Drosophila melanogaster: one gene and its partners. The protein of the gene in region 1 interacts with the protein of each later gene in a pairwise test. Each region holds a gene or a part of one and is shown in the gene's direction. Other genes may lie near its edges.

Evidence for each region.
Region 2: the proteins of E5 (region 1) and PolZ1 interact in a two-hybrid assay, tested with the Drosophila melanogaster proteins (one large-scale study listed by BioGRID).
Region 3: the proteins of E5 (region 1) and CG6337 interact in a two-hybrid assay, tested with the Drosophila melanogaster proteins (one large-scale study listed by BioGRID).

Annotation. Positions count from the first base shown.
Region 1 is NT_033777.3:13,871,513-13,876,820, reverse strand, and holds the start of E5 (E5), read left to right. Parts: upstream 1-1,904; 5' UTR 1,905-2,224; intron 2,225-2,567; 5' UTR 2,568-2,641; coding exon 2,642-3,521; intron 3,522-5,308.
Region 2 is NT_033778.4:7,791,802-7,800,012, forward strand, and holds the start of PolZ1 (DNA polymerase zeta subunit 1), read left to right. Parts: upstream 1-1,823; 5' UTR 1,824-1,894; coding exon 1,895-2,026; intron 2,027-2,084; coding exon 2,085-2,314; intron 2,315-2,371; coding exon 2,372-2,616; intron 2,617-2,673; coding exon 2,674-2,921; intron 2,922-2,979; coding exon 2,980-3,424; intron 3,425-3,493; coding exon 3,494-3,610; intron 3,611-3,672; coding exon 3,673-4,077; intron 4,078-4,134; coding exon 4,135-4,219; intron 4,220-4,284; coding exon 4,285-4,371; intron 4,372-4,429; coding exon 4,430-7,117; intron 7,118-7,182; coding exon 7,183-8,211. Other genes in the region: Gapdh1 (glyceraldehyde 3 phosphate dehydrogenase 1), read right to left, coding at 321-1,319. UniProt on the Drosophila melanogaster protein: As the catalytic subunit of the DNA polymerase zeta complex, plays a crucial role in translesion DNA synthesis (TLS) and various DNA repair mechanisms. Lacks an intrinsic 3'-5' exonuclease activity and thus has no proofreading function.
Region 3 is NT_033778.4:13,832,687-13,836,823, reverse strand, and holds CG6337 (uncharacterized protein), read left to right. Parts: upstream 1-1,727; 5' UTR 1,728-1,761; coding exon 1,762-1,857; intron 1,858-1,977; coding exon 1,978-2,904; 3' UTR 2,905-3,249; downstream 3,250-4,137.

The DNA of each region.
Region 1 (5,308 bases):
AGAATTAAACAAATGTATCTCAAATATATAATTTTACATCTACCGAGAAAAAGGCCCTAGAACTTGCATCGCGTTTCGCGAACTGATAATGCAGGCATTTGCTGCATTTTATCTTTTTGTGGGCCCTCCTTCTGGTCATATATCAAGTGCGGTAAATGCCAAAAAATACGCCCACAAAATCATTGATTGCCGATCGATAACCTTTTGCGGTGATGGAGCATCCCATAAAGTTCTCGTCCCAGCTCATTGTCTGACTAATTAAATGATTTATCCCGAATCGTGAGGCAGAGGAGCTGGAAAGGAGATGGGAAAGAGTAAAAACCAATTACAATTACCGCACCCAGAGGTGCCACACTCACAGATATAGATATATGTATACGTGTATACATGAGTGCATCTGCGGCAGCAAAGCTGCTGCCCCACCGACAAGCAACGGCCTTATCTAGATGCATACAAATCCAGCCAAGCGCACGTCAATTTATTTGCCAACTCTCGCCTCCTTTCTGGCCAACATCCATATCCATTCATGGCCAAAAGGAGGAGAATCGCATGTATTTACCTATGAGAAGGCTGCGAAGTTGGCGCTGCATGTTTTATGCCTCCTCCTGCATCTTTAACGAGGTGTTTATTTTCACAACTCACAGCCAGCGGATGAGGATGCGGATAGGGATGGGGATGGGAATGGGGATGGGGATGGGTATACAGATACTCGGATGACCACGCACAGATACAGATGCAGATACGTTCCCTTCCCAGCACGCTGTATCTGTATCTGTGAGATTCGCGCAGTTGCAGCTCGCCGAAGGTGTAGAAACCAAGTTACCGCCCATTTTCGTGTCCAAATGCTTTTGGCCAACATGATGCAGATGCCAATTCAGAATGGTAGAATGGCCAAGCGGCGGGGGGAGGGAAAGTGGTTTATAGCCAGCACTGACGACGGGGCGTCTAAGCTATATAAGCGATGACGTTGATTCCACTGCACAGTGGTATCGGCTCGATATCCTTTGAAAAATGCGTATTTTCTACTTTTGAGTTATGTACAAATTTGAACACTTTTTAATATCGATTTTCCAGTAGATAGTAAATAATTTAATACATGAAAACAATTTAAAAACGGTTACTGATGAAAGATAAACGTTTAAGCCTTAAATATTTCAATGAATAAATACAATTCAATTAAATAAAGTTTCAATTTTTTTTTATTGTTAGTATTTGCATAATTAAAAGAGGGCACAGTTCGCTTTTCAATTTTAAATGTTATATTTATTATATTTATTTTTAATCATCGAAGACCTACTTCCTATCCACTGTTCGGGTGCACCACCCCCGTTCCCCCTCCTACGCTCCAACAAACTGGCCAACCCGCTTGGCACTAAAACCACAAACGCTTTAATGATGCTGTTTTGTTTAGCGCAAATTGTTTGTTTCGCTGTCATAAACTGGTGCGAAAAATGGCCAAGAGAGCGACAGAGAGAGAGAGAAAAAGAGAGAGATTGGGGCCCCTCACACACCCACACACCAACAAGCCCAGAGAGCGGGAGAGCGAGCGAGAGAGGAGGTGGCTCCACTTGGAGCCAAGCAGGTTTTCGGAATATCCACTGAACTATTGTTGCGCTGCTTTGGCGCACGCGCACCGAGCCACGTGTGCGAGCGAGACGCCAGCAGTATTGCTGCGCTGGAAGTACAAGCAAAGGAAGAAGAAGCACACTCGAACTGGCCCCACAAACTTTTTGCGGCTTTTTCCAACGCGACACTCGAGCTAAAACGCTCAGCGTGAGAGCCACGCAGCGATTCGCCGACGCCCCCGCCAAAAATCAGGACAGAAAGAGAGAAAGCGAGAGAGAGACAGAGGTTGCGAGCGGCGAAGTGGAGCCAACAATTAGACGCCTTTAGACGCTCCATAATGCTAATGGCGTTGACAGTGCTCATCATCATCGCAGCGCGGCCACCGCAATCGTTTCGTTACCGGGTAGCCGGCATAACCGTTAACCGTTAACTGATACCGCCACCGCCACCGTCAATCGCCAATAGTCAATCGCCAACCATCAATCGCCGCCGTCAATCGTCCAGCGAAGCGGTACGGTCACGCTCCAATCGCCGCGTTGCCGCCGCTCCAGTTACAGTTACAGTTTATCAATGTCACGCCGACGGATGCCAACCGCTGGAGCATCGCAGATACAACGCTACGTAGCTATATAGCTATAGCTATCTGATCGGAAAAACAGTGCGTGTGTGCTTATCTGATATCTAGTAACCATTAACCGATGTACGCGATCATGTTTCCATAGCACCAACCCATTTATTGGGAGCTTCGATCAGTACAACCCTTTTTCCGTTTCCGTTTCTATTCAGTTCAATTCCATTTCAATTTCCATTCCCTTTGATTTTAGTAGGATTTTTACCGTTTTATTTTATTCCTAAAACTTTTAGTTGAGCATTATTCTTTTATTTACTGATTTATCCCGTTCGAAAATACAAAATTTTTTTTTTCAAAAAAGTCAAATATGGAATGGAAAAAATGGAATTTAAGGCCTACAAGTGTTCTTATAATCTACTTCGACTTGCAGAGACTTCGAATCGGGAAGTTTAAGAGGAGGGAAAGTGATTCATTTGTTTTTCCAATCAACGAAACCCCTACCAAATGGTCACCTGCGGCCGGCAAACGTTCAACATGCTGCCCATGGCGCCGACGAGTCCTTTTGTGAGCAGCAGCTCCTCGGTGGCCGCATCCTCGACTTCCGTTTCCGCCAGCAGTACCGTTTCCGCCTCCGCGAGCAGCAAGCCCAAGCTGGCCTTCAGCATCGACTCGATTGTGGGCGAATCCTCGACGAGATCGGCTCCACTAAGGGTCAGTGTGATATCTTCGCCGCCGCCGCGCAGCGAAAGTCCCGCTTCGCCAACGAACACGAACAACAGTGGGCGCCGGACGCCCAGGGGCTATATCTACTGCCGCAGAAGGGATTCGCTGGATCGATCGCGCAGTCCTCAGAGATCACCGGTTAGCCGGTCGCCATCGCCCCCCAATGCAGGAGGCAATCCGGCAGCGGCCGGGAATACTGCAAAGTCCGGGGATCCATCGTCGGGAACGGGAAATCCTCCAACCCTCATCCGTCCGTTGCCTCTGCCGGCGCCAAATCTAGCTTTAATTGGGAACCGCACCTCACCGAACGCCATGGCGGTGCGCATGGCGGGTCCGCCCCACCCGCCGTCGCAGCCACCGCCGTTCCTTGCCGCCCAGTTCCAAATGGCTGCTGCACTGGCTCATCATCACCAGCAGCAACAGCAGCAGCAACAACAGCAACTTCCGCCCGTGCCAACTGGACCGCCACATGGTCCACATCCGCATCTGCCGCCCGGCCAAATTCCACTTGGAATCTTTCCCGGCGGACCGCATCCCGGGCATCCTCCGCCCCACGGACACCATCCGTTCGGGAGTGCGCCGCATCTGATCCGGGATAGCTATCCGTTGTATCCATGGTTGCTCAGCCGACACGGACGCATTTTTCCACGATTCCCAGGCAGTAAGTAATCACACTGTTTTAAATATATCTATTGTTTATTACAATATTTTCAATAAGTTCAGAGTTCAGAGAAGCTAACCGGTTTAGCAAGCGGTACTTTCATATGTATATAAAACCGCTAAAAATTATTTCTATAAATTGAAAAATATAATTTTTATGCATAATCATCTAAGCTAACAATTATTTGTAATAAATTTACTGCAAAATTAATAACAGTTTATATAACAATAATACATATCATTTAATTTAATATTTACCCTATTCTGATAATAAGAGTACATCTCTCTTTTACGGATTATTAGAAAGATAGTTGTTACATATATATTTTTCATATTTGAACATTAGAATATTATGATAGTTTACGGTCGGTTTCTTCTTCTGGAGATAGCAACCACCCCTTTTGTTGGTTATTTTTCGCTATAACGAGTTTTCCGCATTCATTATAGCCGTTTCAAATGGCCGCTGAGTGTTGCGAGCGACAGAGAAAAAGAAACCACACCTTAAGTCATATTCGAAGCCCAGCACCATTATAGTAGAGAGGACCCCAATCAAGCAATTATTCAGTTATCGCTGTTGTTGCCGCGCAGCTCCATATAATTAAAGTTAAATAAGCAAATGGCAAACATTTATTACAAGTTAATTAGACGTGTATCGGGCTCATCATCATCAGAGGGAGCGGGACGGAGAATGGGAGCGAACAGGAAGGGGGGAATGTGGAGGGAACCGAACCCATTTTGATAACTATTTCCAAACAAATTACATTTTAATTAAATTGTTTAAACAACATTACACACATCGTTAGGTCAAGCAGCGTACCTAAATGGCCAGCCAAGTGTGTGAGTGTGTGTTTAGCATTTATTTGCTCTATTTATACTTTTTCTCTTCACTCGAAATTACCATTAATGGCCAACAGACGGCGCCAGTTACTCATGCGGCGGGCCCATGCGGCGTATGTGTAACGTACGAAAAGTGCAACCATTGAAATGTTAATGCGTTTTTAATTGAGGTTTTGGGGCAACCAAGCAAAGAACCGAGAGGAATGGTAAAAAAAAAAAACTGGCAGATAGAAGCGAAGAGCCACCGCAAAGCGCATCTCAAAAACATTGTCATTTATTACGGTTTAACCACTTTTTTCTACCATTCCGCTGCTCTCATGATTACCATTTGAATTTCCAGGCCATGTTGGTATCCATGTTTTTTTTCGGCCGGTTAAATATAATAATAATTTTCGGCACACTCACACGCCTTTCACCTGCTTAAGTGTACATGTATCCCCGTTACGCCTTAATTATGTTGTACTCCGTTTCATTATTTTCTCCCTTTCTACTTGTTTTCCCATTTCCCGCCGCTCCTTCTCTTTTTTCTCACTTTTCTCCGCGCCGCCTGTAATTTTCGCTTGATTTATGAACGTGAAATGTCAATGTTTCGCATAACGATTTCATTAATTGTAAATGTTTTTCATCTCCGTTTGTTTTGTAACTCGTGTGAGTAATACCAGGTTACATGGGTTTGTTTTTCTTCCATTTTTTCCCGATCTGGAGTAAGATAATGGGGATCATCGCGATAGCGACGGTGATGATACGTCAGTAACTCAATTCAGCTTGCACGTGCTGCAATTTCTGGGTGTTGCCCTCTAATGCAGCCGTTGAAGTTCTGGGAAAACGGGTTAAATTAACAAGGCTGAGATCCTTATTATGGAGGGCTTAAATAGAGGGCACTGTAATTGGACAAGCTGCTTCGGGATTCCCATTCTAAAGGCTTACGAGTTAGCAGCTAACAATTAGTAT
Region 2 (8,211 bases), on another chromosome or scaffold:
CAGGCGAAGCACAGATACTTATTTGTGTATTCACTGCATATCTCAGCAAGTCCGCCCGATATAACCTTCACACGCCCTTGGGCTTACACAAGCAACGTTCTTCATTCGATGCACAAGTTTTATTTTTCAAATAGCTGGCATTTAAATACAGTAACAGGGCGATACTTTATTCAACAACAATAAATATGTAGCTTTGCGTAATTATGGCTATTTTGTGCATTTGAAAAAAAAGCATCCTCAATTGCGCCCCTTGCGGATTATGCAACAGTGATTCCCGACCAGCTGCTGGGCGCCGGGTTTGTACGATAGTTTTGGCTAGTTTAGTCCTTGCTCTGCATATACTTGATCAGGTCGATGACGCGGTTGGAGTAACCGAACTCGTTGTCGTACCACGAGATTAGCTTGACGAACTTATCGTTCAGCGAAATGCCAGCCTTGGCGTCGAACACAGACGAATGGGTGTCGCTGAAGAAGTCGGTGGAGACCACCTCCTCATCGGTGTAGCCCAGGATTCCCTTCAGGGGTCCCTTGGAGGCCTCCTCGACCTTAGCCTTGATTTCGTCATAGGTGGCTCCCTTGCCCAAGCGGACGGTAAGATCCACAACGGAGACATTGGGCGTGGGCACGCGGAAAGCCATGCCGGTCAGCTTGCCGTTCAGGGCGGGGATGACCTTGCCCACAGCCTTGGCGGCTCCGGTGGCGGCCGGGATGATGTTCTGGGCGGCGCCACGTCCATCGCGCCACAGTTTGCCAGAGGGACCGTCGACGGTCTTCTGGGTGGCAGTGGTGGCGTGCACGGTGGTCATCAGACCCTCGACGATCTCGAAGTTGTCATTGATGACCTTGGCCAGGGGAGCCAGGCAGTTGGTGGTGCACGAGGCGTTGGAGACCACCTTCATGTCGGGGCTGTAGGCGTCCAGGTTAACGCCGCACACGAACATGGGCGCATCGGCGGATGGGGCCGAGATGATGACCTTCTTGGCGCCGCCCTTCAAGTGGGTGGACGCCTTGTCAATGGTGGTGAACACTCCGGTGGACTCCACCACATACTCGGCTCCAGCACTGGCCCAGTTGATGTTGGCCGGGTCGCGCTCGCTGAACACGGTGATCTTCTGGCCGTTCACCACCAGGAATCCGCCCTCAGCCGCAACGGTGCCCTTGAAACGACCGTGAGTCGAGTCGAATTTAAACAGGTAAACCATGTAGTTGACATCGATGAAGGGATCGTTGACGGCCACCACGGAGGCGCCCTTATCGATGGCGGCGCGGAGCACCAAGCGGCCGATGCGGCCAAATCCGTTAATTCCGATCTTCGACATGGCTGAGTTCCTGCTGTCTTTTCACTTTTACTCTCGTTCAGTTTCAGTTCGCTATTACGACTGCCGCTTTTTCCTTTTCCCGGAGCTTTTTTCGCAAATTAGGAGAATGGCGCTGCGATGGCGGGGGAGGGTTGATGAGTATTTCGCTAGCTTTCTGCGTAGGTCACACTTAAATAAAGCTAATGTGAAATAAATCGATTAGAATTCCATTTAAAACTTTAATTTTTACAAAGGGTTTGATTATATAAGCGCCTTAAAAAGAGCCTCTAACAACTAATGATATATATGGGTTGTAGGACCCTTTACGTAATTAAGTTTATACAAAAATTAGCATTGTCAAGTATAAAATTCCTTCATCTTGCACTAAAGTTTTTCTTAACATTGTTGCCAAGTTAGTTCTTTAAGTTCTAGAGCTCTTCTTTCAATTTAAAAATATTTATTTTACGTTTTTGCCCTTAGTTTGAATTCAAAAAGCAACAATCGATAGATCGATACTTTTCGATACATGGTCACTCTAGTTTGAATTGAATTGACAACAAATAGCTCTGCGAAAACGAATCTGAGTTTTGGCGAAAATGGCAGCCGCAGGAGAGGCAATCGATGGAGTCTACTCCGTCCGGCTGGTCATCGCGGATTTCTATATGGAGAAGCCGCAGTTCGGAATGGATCCGTGCTATTCGGAGCTGCGCGGCAAAGAAATCAAGCGGGTGAGCCGGTCTATTTCACCACAGTAAAAACTGGTATAACGATCCATTCCACTTCCAGGTGCCAGTGATTCGAGTGTTTGGCGGCAACTCCAGAGGCCAGAAGACCTGCATGCATGTACACGGAGTTTTCCCCTATCTATACATTCCGTATGACAAGAAGGATTTTGAGTCCCTGGAGCGGGGCATCCTGCAGATGGCCATGCACCTGGACAAGGCCATCAACATATCCTTGGGTCAAGGCAGCTCCAACGCCCAGCATGTGTTCAAAATTCAGCTGGTCAAGGGCATGTGAGTTCTTTCTGGACGACTTCTTGGCGTAAATCTCTAACCGACCTCTCTTTACAGACCCTTCTATGGCTACCATCGAGTGGAACACCAGTTCCTCAAGATCTACATGTTCAATCCCCGGTTCGTACGCCGCGCCGCCAACCTTCTCCAAAGCGGCGCCATTCTGAGCAAGAACTTCAGTCCGCACGAGTCGCATGTGCCCTACATTCTGCAGTTTATGATCGACTACAATCTGTACGGTATGAGCTATGTGCATGTCCCGCTGGAGGTTCTCAAGTTCCGGCGCAACCATGACGATGACGGCAAGCTGGATACATCATCTATTTAAGTTCCTAACTAACCCGTAACTAACCCTTTAGTAATCCCCTATGCAAATGTCAAGCAAGCGCAGCTTCTGGACATCACAACCGCTAAGAAAGTGGCCTGCAGTGCTTTAGAGGTGGATGTCAGCTCGAACTTCATACTGAATCGGTTCCAGCTGGTGGCGAAGAGTAAGAGCAACCACACTAACCCCGGCATCGAGGCCATCTGGAATGATGAGAAATTGCGCCGACAGAAACTTGTCGAGAAGCACACCGATGCTGGCGATGAGGAGAAGGCTGAAGCGGTAATCCGGGAATACATCTTGTATTGATAAATCCTACAGCCTTGTCCATCCATCGTAGGTGCCAGTATTGGAGTTACCGCCAACACAGGAGCGGCATCAAATTGAAATCGCCGAAAGCGATATCTTCTACCGCACCGCTCTGGAGAGCAAGCTGATGACACTGGAGCAGTCCACACTGTCCGAGCAAACGTTGTCGGATCAGACAATCCTTCCCCAAGCAACCATGCAGACCACCATGCCCGGCACAAAGGCACAGAAACGCAGGTTTAACTTGCAAAAACTTCTAGCCAACGCCGTTTATCCGGAGGAATGCTCACAGGATCAGCAGCAACTGCTGGTTAATGCTTCCTTCATACAAAACCATGTTACCTGCGGCTACAGCAGCAGTGTCAGTTTGTCAACCTCCAAGGATGAGTCCGATGACTTGGACGAAACTGTAGTGGATGAGGAACTAATACTGAGCCTCACACAGCCTCATGGAGCGATACCCCATGATGCCACCTGTGAGTACACGGTTGCCAAAATTACAACTCGCACTTTGGTATAAACCAGTTGTTTTCTCCTTGCTTCAGTGAGGGAGGAGGATTTGGAACTTTTGGACGCGTTGCAGCTGTTGGAGGAGCAGAATGAAAGTGAATCGCATGTGGACTTAGACAGTTCGTTGGCTCCATTGTCGCAACATAAAAAGTGTGAGTTGTTGTGAAATGGAGTTGTTTTTTAATAAATGTTTTACACTGATCTCTTTTTGTAGTCGAACTTACACCCGAATTGTTGGACAAGGAGACCGCAGCTACTGCTGCTCTTTTCGACGAAGATGTTGACTCCGACGAGGATGCCGACCAAGAAACCCGACATGACTTCTCTACCGTCCTAGACGATGTCGATGAGTTGTTGCTTAAGTTAACACAAAGTCAGCCTGCGGAATCGAAGGAACTGAAAGCATCTAGTAAACTGCCCCAAATTGATGGTGCTGATGATCGCCTACAAAGGACCCCCATTAAATCGATCAGCTCTAAGTCAAAGTCAAGTCCTTCAAAGACTCCAACAACGCCAATAGGTCAGAAAAGTCTTCCCAAATCGCCACGTACTCCGAAAACCAGTGCAGCCAAGAAATATGCGCCGCTGGCTTTGACAATTGGAAGCAGTTCATCAAAGAGTGGGTAGAATTGATAACGATCACACGAATTTTTTTTGCAATCATAACCAATTGCAGAAAGCAACGATGAATTCGCAGGGAGACCATCTAATCCACGCCTCAGTTTGCAGCTAGACCAAGGAACCGGAACGGGAACACTTCGGTAATCAAATTCTTTGTTTTCATCATATGTACCAACATTTCTATGACCAACATTTTTGTTCGTAGGCCAGAAATCTCATTGCGCAAAAAACTAGCCATGTCGGAGATGCGACGGAAAAGTTTCGAGGACAGTTTTGTGCTCTTAAAGAACGAGTATGGTTAACTGATATCCTTTATGGCAAGGCGATTTATATTATTGTTTTCCCGATAGTTGTACTCCAGTTAGGAGTACCAGACGATCAACTAGCAATCTGGACAAAACACACATTATTTGTTCCCTTACGCCGAGGGACAGAAATCCTGGCTTGAGCGACATGTTCGAAACAGAGGACGGCAAGCAATTACCACCAAAGAAAGTAGTAAGAAAGACGCGATGGAGCACTCGGAATCAAGATATAGAAAGTCTACCCAAGGCCGGTTGTGAGATAGAGAGACCCCACAGGTCAGAAGGAAGTGCCTTGGATGAGCTGAAGCCGCGTCGCAGTGCTCGCCATAAGGTTAATTCGGCAAATCCAGATGAGTGTTCCAGCGAAATACAAACAACTGGGCCACGAGTGACGACTACAAGTTTGGATAGACCTCAAAAGAAAGCCAGACTATCCCAAAGTCCCAAAGAAAATACTAAAACAAGCATGAATGGAACTGTTGCATTGGAAAAAGCAACAAAAGATAGTTCATCTAACTCAGAGAGTCCGCATCAGCAGGAAAACTCTGTTTCTGAACAAATCGAATATCTCGAAAGTAAACCAAAAAAGTCTGATGAAACTGCACGAAGCTGTGACGAAAAGTTACAACGTGAGCTAATTCCACAGGAACCAGCTGGTATTTCGCCTGGAGATTCAGCAAACTCCACGGAGGAGATCACATTTAGTCCATGCCATGATGAGGCTATCGAATCCGACACGGAAAGCGATTATATAGTCACCAAACTTCGTAAAACACCCAACTTGAAACGCCTTCGATGGAGCATTCGGTCGGAGTTGCTGAACAAACAATTTACTCCCAGTTCAGGCATAAGACCCCCTGAGACTGAGACCACTCCTCAGCTAAGTCCCAAAAGCAATGAGAGCAACACACCGGAGCTGATGCGAAGTTTCTATGAGCATTCGCTGATTGTGAACAGTCCGTCGGTCTTCAGTGACTTCTTGGATAGCCCCGAGATACATATGGATTCTCCTAGGTCTGCTCCTCCATCTCCCGATAGCAACTCGTTCGTGATTGCCCCCTTGGAGCTGCCTCCATCCTACGATGAAGTGGTTAGCGGTAGCCGTAAAATGGACATACCCGAGTACGAGTTCCAAAAGCCATACTACAGCAATCCCTCCGATGTGAGCAAGGTGACGGAGGTGGGCTTCCTGGTGCTCCACATTCCGGGGAACAAGCTAAATGACTGTGATCCCTTCCAGAGCATACTGGGCAATGATCGTGGCCTGGCCTCCTGGCGTCGTCGGCAACTGATAGCCATTGGTGGCCTGGCAATGTTGCAGCGACATCGGGGAGAACAAAAAGTACGGGAGTATTTCAGCACGCAACAAAGAATAGCAATCGAGCCAGCACAACTAGCACCCACCTGGCAGGAAGCCAAGATCTGGTTGAAAGCCAAGGAACTCCTTCGTCAACGAGAGGAACCAAAAAAGTCCTCTGATGACATAGACAGCCCCATCAAGATCAAGCGGCAGAAGATCACTATGATGCTGCAGGCTGAGGAAGGCGATGGCGGAAGTGGCGATGAAGATGCTGGTGAGGAACTCGATTGCAGTCTAAGTCTAACGCCCTTGTCCCAAGCTAAGGATAAATGCAAGGCAACCCCTACCAGTAGCAAAGCCAGAGAAACAGGAAAGAGTCGCCTTAAGCGCGGAACTAGGCTCAGCTTCATAGGAAGCCAGGACGAGGAACCACCAAGCTCGCAGTCCAGCGAACAGAGCGTCTCCAGTAGTGCGGCCCAGGCGGAGCTAGATCGTAGTTCCTTTCTGCGCCAGTTAGAGGGCAGTAGCCAGGATAGGCAGCACGACCTCAGCTTTGGACTTAGCCACGCTACCTTGGACAACACGTTCGGGTTCAAGGTTAATTTGGAGAATCTGCAGCAGGCCAAAGCCGACATTGATTGCAACCACCTGACAATCATAACGTTAGAGGTGTTTGTGTCCACGCGAGGTGATCTCCAACCAGATCCGATGCACGACGAGATTCGGTGTTTGTTTTATGCTATCGAACACAGTTTGCCGGATGAAAAGCTGCCTAGCAAAGCCTGCGGCTATATAATGGTGAACACTGTCCAGGATTTGCTAAGTGAAGGACCTTTTCATGGTATAGATCGCGATATTGAGGTGCAAGTAGTGACCAGTGAAGCGGAGGCATTTGAGGCGTTGCTGGCTTTGTGTGAACGGTGGGATGCGGACATATACGCAGGGTACGAAATCGAGATGTCCTCTTGGGGCTATGTGATTGATCGGGCCAAGCATCTGTGCTTCAACATCGCTCCTCTGCTGTCCCGAGTGCCCACACAGAAGGTCCGGGACTTTGTGGACGAGGATCGGGAGCAGTTCACCGATTTGGATGTGGAAATGAAGCTCTGCGGCCGCATTCTGCTGGACGTATGGCGCCTGATGCGCTCCGAGATTGCACTGACGTCGTACACCTTCGAAAACGTAATGTACCACATTTTGCATAAGAGATGTCCCTGGCACACTGCCAAATCCCTCACCGAATGGTTCGGCTCACCCTGCACCCGCTGGATAGTAATGGAATATTACTTGGAGCGTGTGCGTGGCACCTTAACTCTCCTGGATCAGCTGGACTTACTGGGACGGACTAGCGAAATGGCCAAGCTCATTGGCATTCAGTTCTACGAGGTGCTGTCGCGCGGCTCACAGTTTCGCGTGGAAAGCATGATGCTGAGGTGAGTGTAACCCTTGAGCGCAGGCAAAATATGTTGCATCCTCCCTGAACTCTCTGTCTTCATAGAATCGCCAAGCCAAAGAACCTGGTGCCACTTTCACCCAGCGTCCAGGCTCGCGCTCATATGAGAGCTCCCGAGTACTTGGCGCTAATAATGGAACCGCAGTCACGATTCTATGCCGATCCCCTAATCGTGCTTGATTTTCAGAGCTTGTACCCCAGCATGATCATCGCCTACAACTACTGCTTCTCCACGTGCTTGGGTAGAGTAGAGCACCTGGGTGGAAGTTCGCCCTTTGAATTTGGCGCGTCGCAGCTCCGAGTTTCGCGGCAGATGCTGCAGAAGTTGCTGGAGCACGATCTGGTTACTGTTTCGCCATGCGGCGTTGTGTTCGTGAAGCGTGAAGTGCGCGAGGGCATCCTGCCGCGCATGCTCACCGAGATCTTGGACACGCGCCAAATGGTCAAACAGTCGATGAAGCTCCATAAGGACAGCTCTGCACTTCAGCGGATCCTTCACTCACGGCAGCTGGGCCTTAAGCTGATGGCCAATGTTACCTATGGCTACACCGCCGCTAACTTCAGTGGCCGAATGCCTTCAGTGGAAGTGGGCGATTCTGTAGTTTCCAAAGGACGGGAGACCCTGGAGCGTGCTATCAAACTAGTGGAGAACAACGAGGAGTGGAAGGTGCGTGTCGTCTATGGCGACACGGACTCCATGTTCGTTCTTGTGCCGGGTCGAAATCGAGCTGAAGCTTTTCGAATCGGCGAGGAGATCGCCAAGGCGGTCACCGAAATGAATCCACAGCCAGTGAAGCTAAAACTGGAGAAGGTCTACCAACCTTGCATGCTGCAGACCAAGAAGCGCTACGTGGGTTACATGTATGAGACAGCCGATCAGGAGCAGCCCGTTTACGAGGCGAAGGGAATAGAAACTGTGCGGCGAGATGGTTGTCCGGCGGTGGCCAAGATGCTGGAAAAGGTGCTGCGCATATTGTTCGAGACGCAAGACGTCAGCAAGATCAAGGCGTACGTGTGCCGGCAGTTCACCAAGCTGCTGTCGGGCAGGGCCAATCTGCAGGACCTGATTTTCGC
Region 3 (4,137 bases), on another chromosome or scaffold:
GATTTCGCGGCTTCGTCTCTCCTTTTATTTCCTCAGCTCCCAAATTGGCTCCATCGAGGGCCCAAATAAATCAAAATCAAATCTAGATTAGGCAACCGCAGGCTAAGATTTCACTTTCGTTGCCATAAAATACTGATCACATGCTGTGCCCGGTGAAAGGCGATGGATTCCCCTGTTTAAAATCAAATTTCGAGTCGAATGTAAGCAATTGCAGTTCTCTTGTCTTCGACGGACCATTATGAATCGAAAAATAACAACACACACGACACAATATGTTGAAAAGATCGACTTAATCACCTTTTATGGATATCTGGGAATGATATGTTCAAAACACCTTCCGCGTTCACAAATCACAAAACTATTCGAAGATGCTGAAGACTCGAAGACCGGCGAGATTATAAGCGGCGCTCGACCCGCACACCTTGGTTTTATAGAGTCTGGAGCTGGACCGTGGGACATATGGCCAAAACTGGATGGGCCACCAATTTGAAACTTTTGGAATACCGACAAGAGCATATTCATCTTCATTTCGACGGGCTATCTGGTTTATGGGTCTATAGCTGTCTCCATTATATGCATGCTTAGTAATTGTCGATTGCCTAATGTGTTGGTGGCTATAACAACGCATATTAACTCATTTGAAACAAAAGAGAAAATAGTCAAACATGTTTTTAAATAGTTAATAATTGATGAGATCGAAGTCACAGTTGTAGCGCCTATAGGATTACAAATTTCAATGCAGCAAGCAAAGTTTTAGGAAAGTTTTTAAAGCGTCTCTAAGTAGTTTGTACTATTATATCCCTTGTAAATAAATAACACTTTGATTTTTATGTAAATAATACAATTACAGAATGATAAAGATGCAGACGGATGAATAATGGTCTCGACTTTCAATAACTATAAATTGAAATTGAACCATGAAGAGATTGATTAGTGGCCAATTTATTTGCATTTCAATTAACAGATTCGTGGAATCTGAATTTGTTGTTGCGTCTACTAAAAAGTTCATTGACTGCTGAAATCCCTTATGGACTTACCTACATATTTGCAAAATTTCAAGATGATCCCTCATTACTACTTCGAATATATACTACCTGTAGTATATGCTAGACTACCGCAATGGAAATTACCAAACAACTCACTTAGCACTTGGTTTACAGCAATTTGGCCAAGTCTTCCAACGGGCCTATCTATCTATCTGTCTATGTATCTTTCCATCTACGTATCTATCTATCAACGCTGTTGCAACTTTTATGGGCGCCACAAAGTATGACTGTGATTAATCATGCCTGCGCTGAAGACAAAACCTGAAGACTAAACGATAAGTTGGCATTAGAGGGGCGTTTACGATGCTCCATGGGCATATGGGCTTGGGTGTTTTTTTCTGAACTGGGCCAGTGGGGATTTCGAATTAACAGAGATACGAGAACCCACCGCCGAATCGCAACGATACGAAACGGGGCATTTGACAAGTTTATTGGGCAAACAAAGCGCACCCCGACTTTTCCTACCAACGTCGGCTTATCGAGGAGACCCAACCCGGAATATGAATACTACGGATAGTACGTTTGAGTGCTGCTGGCCAAGTGCGAATTCAAGGCCTCGTAGAAATCTACGAGTATTTGCACTTTTCTTGCGAAAGTAAGTCGCTTTGGTAAACTTCTATTTGCGTTTGCAATCAGAAGGAGAGTTTGCCGGTGCCTATAAAAGATCGTTCCATGGTTCTGGCGGCATTAGTTGGTGCGGATTTGGGTTTTCGTCATGTTCAAGTTGCTACTTTGCTGCCTTCTACTAACCATCGACAGTGGATGGGCCTTTAATCATGGCCAGGATCTAGTGGACTTTCAAACTTACGAGGTATGTGAGTCATCAAGAAAACAAAGTCTGGATGGGATTTAATTAGAAATTATATCTTGTATCTTATGGCATTGAAAAGGATTGTATTGAGTAATGGAATTCAAATCTTTCCATTTACAGGACAATTTCAACAAGACCTATGCCTCAACTTCGGCTCGCAACTTCGCCAACTACTACTTCATCTACAACCGCAACCAGGTGGCGCAGCACAATGCCCAGGCCGATAGGAATCGCACCACCTACCGCGAGGCAGTGAATCAGTTCTCGGACATCCGGCTCATCCAGTTCGCAGCCCTGCTGCCCAAAGCCGTGAATACGGTGACCTCGGCGGCCAGTGATCCACCGGCCAGTCAAGCGGCATCTGCCAGCTTTGACATTATCACGGATTTCGGACTCACCGTGGCGGTGGAGGATCAGGGCGTGAACTGCAGCAGTAGTTGGGCCTATGCCACCGCCAAGGCCGTGGAGATCATGAATGCCGTGCAGACAGCCAATCCTCTGCCCTCGTCCTTGTCCGCCCAGCAGCTGCTGGACTGTGCGGGCATGGGCACCGGATGCAGCACCCAGACGCCCCTGGCTGCCCTCAACTATCTCACCCAGCTGACAGATGCGTATCTCTATCCGGAGGTGGACTATCCGAATAACAATAGCCTGAAAACGCCGGGTATGTGCCAGCCCCCATCCTCTGTGTCAGTGGGCGTGAAGTTGGCCGGCTATTCCACGGTGGCCGACAACGATGATGCCGCCGTAATGCGTTACGTATCGAATGGATTCCCCGTCATAGTCGAGTACAATCCGGCTACCTTTGGATTCATGCAGTACTCCAGTGGCGTCTATGTCCAGGAGACGCGTGCCCTGACCAATCCAAAGAGCTCACAGTTCCTGGTGGTCGTGGGCTACGATCACGACGTGGACTCCAATCTGGACTACTGGCGCTGCCTGAACTCCTTCGGCGACACGTGGGGCGAGGAGGGTTACATCAGGATCGTGCGCAGGTCCAATCAGCCCATTGCCAAGAATGCCGTCTTTCCCAGTGCGCTTGCCTAAGAAGGATTCCGATTTGACCTTATTTCAAGTTAATAAACTTAAGTTTTATGTGTAAATTTTTATATGATGATTTTGTTTCGGATTCAGTAGATGCTGTAAGTTCTTTAAAAAAACTTAATGCTAGTAAGCAATACTATTATTATTATTATAGACGCATTATCTTTAAATCAACTAGAATTCGAGTAACAGATTCGGGAATATCTATAATAACACTATGATGATACCTTAAGAGTGTGCCTATCTATATCTATGATAGTTCATAGAATAGAAGAATAGTAATAGAACCATCCAAGAAATAGATTTGGGAATATCTCAAATAAAGCTAAGATAATTCATCGAGATCTTGAATATTACATAAAGAGTAATCTTGAAAAAAAATCCCCCGTCTTCTACCAAAAAGTATCGTTTGGTTTTTTGTTGTGAAAGCTTACAGCTTTTTTGTCTCCATTTATTGAATTTACCATTTTATTTAGTTTATTTATTGATTTTTCATCTACAAGCGGAGCTTTACAGACTTAAATGCTAAAAATTAACAAGTTCACTTTATTTTCTTTTCTTTTCTTGTTTTTCGCATCTTTGATCTGCTTATGGATTTTATACTATTATCTTTGCAGTGTTTTCTTTTTCTGTTATGTTTCTCTTGCATAATAAATAAGTTTCCCATTTTGTTGCTATCCGTGTTGCTGTGATATAAAAACGAAAGGAAATTATATAGATATATATAATATTTAGGTATTATATTTATGGTTATAGAATATTCGACTCAGCCAGCGCAGACAAAAGCTTCTTTTTTTTGGTGTGTGTTCTTTCTGTAGATTTCTTAATCTTAGTTCTCGTAAATTTTTTAAGTTTCAGTAACTTGTTTGGAAACGTTGTTATTATAAATACTTCTCGTTATTATATTTCAATTGCGTTAAATAATTTGAAATATATGTATGTACGTTGTGTTTGCATTTTGTTTTGTTTTAGTTTAGGTTTTTAGTTTTTAGTTTTTATTTTTGGTTTAGAATGTCTTCCCGTCTTCTTGTGAAGCAAAGCTCAATGATATGATTCACGCTGAAAGGTGATTTAACGATTTTTATTATTTCAATAATTTTGCAGTTTATAAAGATTGCGTGATCTTGTGTTTTATTAGGTTTTTCTTTGTTTTTTGTTTTTTGTTCTGGATGTGCTTGAGTTGCAATATTTAGGGTACTTCCTTGGAAAATCGTTGCGGATGAAGAACAAAATCGA